Linked DNA regions of Cricetulus griseus. The protein of the gene in region 2 purifies or fractionates together with the protein of the main gene of each other region. This does not show direct contact. Links are inferred from orthologs where the notes say so. Each region holds a gene or a part of one and is shown on either strand. Other genes may lie near its edges.

The links.
Region 1: the proteins of Nfkbib (region 2) and Polr1e purify together in Homo sapiens (affinity purification with mass spectrometry; 3 studies listed by BioGRID and IntAct, counting the BioPlex papers as one, with this or other methods). This does not show direct contact. The link is inferred for Cricetulus griseus from reciprocal best matches to the Homo sapiens genes NFKBIB and POLR1E.

The regions. Positions count from the first base shown.
Region 1 is NC_048595.1:98,430,423-98,434,507, forward strand, and holds the start of Polr1e (DNA-directed RNA polymerase I subunit RPA49), read right to left. Parts: upstream 2,808-4,085; 5' UTR 2,759-2,807; coding exon 2,638-2,758; intron 2,185-2,637; coding exon 2,081-2,184; intron 1,529-2,080; coding exon 1,452-1,528; intron 532-1,451; coding exon 446-531; intron 1-445. UniProt on the Homo sapiens protein: Component of RNA polymerase I (Pol I), a DNA-dependent RNA polymerase which synthesizes ribosomal RNA precursors using the four ribonucleoside triphosphates as substrates.
Region 2 is NC_048602.1:7,108,298-7,111,513, reverse strand, and holds the end of Nfkbib (NF-kappa-B inhibitor beta), read right to left. Parts: coding exon 2,918-3,216; intron 1,835-2,917; coding exon 1,746-1,834; intron 1,663-1,745; coding exon 1,393-1,662; intron 668-1,392; coding exon 566-667; 3' UTR 501-565; downstream 1-500. Other genes in the region: Ccer2 (coiled-coil domain-containing glutamate-rich protein 2), read left to right, coding at 120-209. UniProt on the Homo sapiens protein: Inhibits NF-kappa-B by complexing with and trapping it in the cytoplasm.

The DNA of each region.
Region 1 (4,085 bases), on a different chromosome or scaffold from region 2:
CACAGAGAAATCCTGTCTCAACCCCCCCCCCCCCCCGCCCCGCCCCACAAAAGGTTATATATCCATATACCTTTTCAAATTAAAAAGAAAAAAGAAAAATGAGAACACTCGGCAAGAAGGCATCCTATTATGGTTGAGGATAAGCTGTGTTTGCCAAATAGACACCAAGTTCTGAGTTCACACCCCTTTACCATATAAACCTCTCACCATACACAGCACTCTCAAGTTGATGGCAGGAGGACCAGAAATCCAACGTCATCTTCAGCTACCCAGAAAATTCAAGGGTCTACATGAGACCTTCTCTCAAAAAGGTATATGTGGAGGAAGCCATTTAGAAAAAAATTACAAATGCCTTCTAGAAAACAAAAATGAACTAATCCAACAAACCCAAACGATGTATTTAACTGAATATTCATTTAACAGAGTATTCATTTCCGGAACCTACCAGCAAACAGTGGCTGCATGTTGAACAACTCAGCATCATATACTTCCATCTGCCCAGAGGTCTTATTCAGAATTCCCACAAAGTGTCTGAGGAAAAAAGTAATGATACAATAGTAGTTTAACCAAAAGGTTATTATTTACACAATCCTCTCTTTTTCCTATTCACATATCCCTAGCTTCTTTCTGCCAGAAAAAGGCATCCACTTGCTCACATGTAACAATAATCCCTGCACGGAGAGGAAACAGTAGGTGATGAAGAGGAAGGAGACATAAAATGGTTGTGGACTGAAAAAGCCACCAGATGGTTCTGATAACCAATCACATTTAAAGTCCCAGCACTTGGGAGGCAGAGGCAGGAGGATCTCTTGAGTTCGAGACCAGCCAGGTCTACAAGAGCTAGTTCCAGACAGCCTCCAAAGCCACAGAGAAACCCTGTCTCAGAAAACAAAACAAAACAAAACAAAACAAAACAAATTTAAAGCCACTGCTGTTAATGGAAACCCTTTTGAGGTAATAAGAATCTAAAATTAAACAGAATTTTGGCATGCATAAATTCTTCAGGCTGGATGATGCTGTGACACAGAAGACACCAGAGGTGAGCGAAGAGCAAAGTTGCCAAAGTCATTCACTCTGACAGTGCTGGAGGGCTGCTTTGTTCCAACCCAGAGGCCTTGAAGATACAAAATCCTCTTGTCCCAAGGCAAACTTGAGGCAAGCTTTGACCTGATGATCACACATTCTAAATCAGCAGACATAGCTGTCTTTTGGGATAGGACAGTCATACATAATGTCATAATGAGGTCTTTAGGAACTCGACAAACGCAAGCCATCTTTTCCTTTCTAAGGGTGTCTACACAACAGTATATGGAATTTGTGAGTCTAGAAACACAAAGTCTTAGCAAACCTGCAGATCTCAACTACCTCCAAAATGAAGACTGAAGATAGTGTTGTCTCTGTCACTACTACAACCCTCCTAGCACCTTTGTCACTGCCCAGTTGTCCATTACCTGCAAAGAGTGTTGCATTTGAGGGCGCCAGTCCCAAAATTGTTTCCAACATAGGACAGCCTGTCTGTTTCTGCTGCCTGAAAAACAAAGGAGTGTCCAATTTACAATCAGCACTGGGCATGGCCTCCTTTTGACGTGTATAGAAGTCTTAGAATCCAGGACCAAAATGACCAGCCCTAGATATTCTCCAGGTGACCTACCCCATCATATCTACAGGAATCTAGGGTGTCTCTGGGGGACCCCAAATACCATAAGGAAGCTTCAAAGTGATAAAGTTCTGGGGGGGGGCGCCACCTGGGATTGCATGAAATTAAAAAGCTTCAAACTGGGCGGTGGTGGCCCACACCCTTAATCCCAGCACTGTGGAGGCAGGGGCAGGCGGATCTCTGAATTGGAGGTCAGCCAGCTATGTCTACTCAGTGAGTTCCAGTATAGCTAGAGCTACACGGAGAAATCCTTTTTCCCAAATATGTGAAAAGTCATCGTTTCACCCAAAATCTTGCACCTTGGTGAAGCCACAGTCCCATTTGCTTTCCTCCTTTTCTCCCCTCAGGCCCTCCCATATCTGCCCACACCAAGGGCCTTCTGAGCCCTGCAGAGCCCAGACTACCTGTACCTGCAGCCCTTACCAGGATCCGCTGATTCTTCAGCCTGGGGTTTACCAAGTCGTTGCTGTTGTACAAGGTGAAGCGCATGTTGCCTGGATTCTGCAGCTTCCCATTGGAGAATTGGACTGTAAGTGTAACCCAAGAATGAGATGAGGGCAAGACCAGCAGAGTGGGGTGGCTTAGAACTACACTGTGGTTGGGAACCCAGGGCGAAGGCAAGAGAGCTCATGTCCCACTTTTAGGGAGACTGAAGGAAGTCCTGGTCCAGTACTAAAAAAAAGGAGATGGGGAGGGGGTGGCCTCTGTGCAGAAAATGACGGAGGGAATGTCATTAACTAGCAGAAGAAAGGGAACTCTGCTCCGTGGAGGGGAAAATGGGCGAATGAGAGACCTGGTGAAATCTCCAAGTCCTGGGCACTGCCCTGAGAAGTGTCCTCGCATGTGAAGTCACGACAGAGGAAAGGGAGGATAGCGGAGGCTCTGTCCCAGCTCCAGGCAGTGGGCAGGAGGGCTACGCGGTACCCAGATAGAAGGGGATAGGGCTGAGCGAAACTCCGCTCCGGTCCCGCAGTCTTTACCCAGCACAGCTTTCTGCCTGTCGTCAGGCTCCCCACAGTACAGCCACCTTGCACTCTGTTGCACCTCTGTCTCCATGTCTCTACTCTGGCTGTCCAGCCCGGAAGACTCCAGTGTAGCCATGAGCTCTCCGGCTCACACGCGGACGCATACACCGGAAGTGACACTCTGAGACCTGCCCAGAACACGCAAAACGCGAAACCACGCCTCTAGCGTGGTGGAGCTTCGTCCCGGACCACTCTTGGCTCTTTCCGCGGTGGCCACGCCCCTGGTAGGAGGGCCTCTTCGAGGTGCAGTACCTGATTGGCTTAGTGCTCCCGCTTACGCCCTAAGGTTTAGCCAAACGCCGAAACACAGCGTCTTCAGCCTCGGTTTCGCGTGGAGCTGCCTCTGACTTATCATCATCTAGGTAGAGGACTGTCTTTCTTCTCACCTTTCCAAGACCTGATAAGGCCAAGTTGAAATTTAGAATACTCAGGCCGTGCGTTGGTGGAGGCACTCGGGAGGCAGAGGCAGGAGGCTCTGTGGGTTTGAGGCCAGCCTGGTCTCCAGAGCGAGTGCCAGGATAGGCGTGTTCCCTGAGGCTGGAGAGATGGCTCAGTGGTTAAGAGCACTTGTTGCTCTCCCTCGGGTTCAGTTCCCAACAATCTTGTTAGGCAGGGCAGCTCCAGCTCAGGTAACTGGAGATCCTATTTCCTTTTCTGGCCTCCTTGTCACCTGAACACACATGGTCTCCACAAGCACATTCACACACACACACACACACACACACACACACACACACACACACACACTCACACACTATGCTTTGCTTTTAGCTGTCACAACTCTGACACACACACACACACACACACACACTATGCTTTGCTTTTAGCTGTCACAACTCTGACTGGAAGGTTACTTTCTTTGATCCTACCCAAGTGTTTTCAATTGATTGTTTTCAGAAAGGAAAAGGAAAGAGATGAAAGAGGGCTTCATTCTCTAATTATTCATCAGCTTCTTCTGTCAGTCTTTTCCACACTAAGCTTATTGGAACTTAATAACTAATTTTGGAGCTAATTAGAAACACATTTCATTTTAAATTATTTATTTAGTTAGTTAGATAGTTAGTTAGTTGCTAGCTAGTTCCCAAGAAGTAGTGTGTAGTAAAACAAAACTGCTCATTTGGTGGCCAAGTATGAAGGGGAAAGGGGCTGAGGTCCCTTATTCTCTTTAGGCTCAGTCTGTCTTCAAATTCCCACCTGAGGGTGACTATCAACTCCTCATCCTTCTGCCCGGTGCTGAGATTATAGACATGTACCACGCCAGCCAGTACATTTATTTCTTTCCTTTAACTTCTGCACCTCCAACTCCTGGGAGGTCCTGTGCAAATGGAGATTTTCAATAAATGTTCAATGAGAATGCTGGCAAGATAGCTCAGTGGATAAAGACACTTGCCATCAAGCTTGAT
Region 2 (3,216 bases):
TAGCCATCACTGACCATGACGGACAGCTAGGAAGGGACTTCAAGCCACCAGTGTATGAAGCAGCAGGTTGGAGTCACAGTGGCCACCAAGGTGGTAACCATGTTTCTGATCTCCCCCAGGAAGACGGTGTGGACCGGCTAGAGCACATGGAGGAGCAGCTAAAGAAGGCCACCGCCATGCTGGGGGAGGCACTTGCGAGGGAAGGCTGACCCCACTCCACTCTTCTCCTTTCCTATACTCCCTAAGGCCCAGGGCTGTTGACCTCAGAGCCCCCATTCCATCTGGCAGGGACTGGGAAGCAAGAGTGCACCTGGGAACCAAGGCCGAGAGAAGTCTGAATGGGGCAGGGGTGGAGTTCAGACGACTCAGGACCCCACCCCACCCCACCCTACCCCACCCCACCCCTCCATCCCTCTGAGTGAATAAAGCACAAAGCAAACCCCACGGCTCACACAGCTTTGGAGGAATGGGACCTGAAATAAGCAGGAAGGCACTATCAGTCTGGGCTCTGGCTTCAGGTCTGAAGCTTTATTAAATGGAAATTATATTAATATTAGAAATTAAGTCAGGCGGGGTTGGAGTCATCAGGAAGAGGTTTGGGTGCCGGGGAGGGAGGTAGCCAGTTTTGGCTCCTGCCACTGTGGACCACAATGTCGTCATATTCATCCTGGGGACAGAGAGGGATAACACAGGGGTCAGGTAGCTGCCACCTTGCCCACTGCCCAGGGCACGGCACTTAATGGGGTCTCCCTCTGACGCCTGTGTCCCCTTGCCCCTCCGATATGGTTCCCACTCAGTGCACCTCCTCTCACGCTGGAGGTCCTGGTTCTCAAGACCACCTTCCCCCATTACCCCTGTGGTCCAGCCTTACAGTGGCTCTCTCCCGTCTCCCCTCTGCCTTCACCCACCCTCAACCCTCTTCATGCTATACCAACCCCTACACAGGGGTGTGCCGTTGTCTGGGTTCTTCAGTAATGCTCCCTGCACCGCTGCCTGAGGTCTTTCTCTACCATCAGTGTTCTGGCCACTCTGACCAAGGTCACCTACCTACAGCCTAAGTTCGGCAATCCTGCTCCCAAAGTCACCTCCGATGCTCAGACCCTCCCTACCTGTGTTCGTGACCACCTCTGGAGGAAGTCTAACTTGGCTCGTCTTTGTTCTTTGGCCTTAAACTCACAGACATCCACCTGCCTCTGCCTCCTGAATACTGAGATTCAAGACTAATGGTGTGTGCCACCAGGACAGATTGCCTTAGCTCTTCAGCCACCACCGCCACCCTTGCCCAAGTCTATAAGTTTCTCCTCATCTCACGTGTCCCTTGTCTAAGTCCCTGGGAGCATCCGCCACGGTTTGCCCTGACCCCTCCCGTGGGGACGCCCACTCCTCACTCACGCCCTCATCTCTGCCGTCACTGTCACTATCGCTGCTGCTGCTGCTGCAAGGGCCGAGCTTATCATCCTCATCCTCAGGTTCAGGGGCTCCATGTGCACGGAGGAGGCGGGCAAGGATGGGATTGGGCCGGAGCAGAGCACTGCCAAGTGGGGTGCGGCCCCCATACATGCGGGCGGTAGGGTCAGCACCAGCCTTCAGAAGAAGCTCCAGTACGTTGGCTGCCTGGGCTTCTACCGCCAGGTGCAGAGGGGTCCGGCCACACGTGGGCTCCTGTGGGATATGCCAGATCAGTCAGGGAGACCAACCAAAGACGGGAGGGTGCCTTCACACACTGGCCCACCACAGTGGCTCACCGGTTTATTGAGGTCAGCTCCAGCATCCCTGAGCAGCCGGACCATCTCTGCATCTTTGTGGATGACAGCTACATGGAGTGGGGTGTGGCCTGGGGACAGAGCAACCAGTGTCAGATAAACTAAGGCGCCTCAGCTCTGTCACAACCCTAGGGAAAGGCCACGTGAGCTAAAGATACCAGGTTTGGGGGCTGGCTCCCGAATTCCAGATGCCTAAGTCTTGGGTGTCAGCATGCTGGTGGGTGTAAGCCTGAGTGGTACAGTATCTGGGATCTACAAGGGATGAGTCTGGGCACATAGTCTGTGGACCAACAGGATCAAGTCTTTGGTCTTCCTTCACAAAGAACAGGGGCTTGACGAGCATGAACAGCTCTTAAATTCCATCCCCAGCATCATAAATAAAACAAAACAAAACAAAGCACAATAACAAAAGGAGTTGCACAAAAGACCTGGGACACTGGCTACCAGATGACCTTAGTTCTTTTCCCAGGAGGCCTGACTGAGGAGGGTAAGCTCTGCACCATCTGCCCATGGCTCGGAGCATGAGATGGGTCCTCCCATCCTGGACAGGCTGGGCTAGTGGCTTATACTTGGGAACAGTTCTGGAACAAAGGCACCTTGCAGATGGGTAGCCTAGGCTCAACCACTGTATCCTGGCATTTCTGGCTCTGTGGGTGGCAGGTCTGGGCTGCAAGTAGTTTGATGACCAGATCTGGGAAAGAGAAGCCCTGTCTGTCCAATTCTTCACACTCCCAGGCTGAGTGGAGGTCCTTAGTCCCAGTGCTGGGATTCCTGGAGCCTAGGGATGATTTTGCTTTGGGGTTCTTTTTGAAACAGGGGCTCACTATGCATCTAACATGATCTCATGATGTTTCTGCTCCTGGCTTTTGTCACCCAAGTGCTGGGATCACAGCTGCACACGGCCATACCCTGAGATGGGACAGGGTCTCCTGAACCTAGATTGGCTTCAAACTACAAAGCACCAAAGACAACCTTGAACTCCTGATCCTCTTGCTTTCACTTCCCAAGGGCACCACCATGCTAGGTTATGCTGGGAATCAAACCCAGGGCTCTATGCCAGCGGCTGTGTTTCAAGTTGGGTAAGAAGAGCAGGTGGTTTGTTTCCCTGACTCTGGCCAGGGGCTCTCGTCCTTCCCAGGGCCCAGGGCCCTCACCCTCATAGTTTTCAGCTTCTAGCTGCAGCTTCCAGTCTTCATCACTCGGATCCTCTTCGATCTCTGGGTTGGGTTGAGGGTTCACAGCAACAGGGGTGGGGCCGGTGTCTGTGGTATTGTCCTGGCTCTGAGTGAGGTAGGTATCTGAGACATCCCTTGGGCGTCTGGGGCGGGGCTGGAGCAGCGCGCATGCGCACGTGTGTGCCCTCACCCGGCAGGCCAAGTGCAGAGCGGTGTGGCCCCCTCGCTCAGCCACCAACACTCCGGCGCCAGCTGCATACAACTTCTCTACCGTGGAT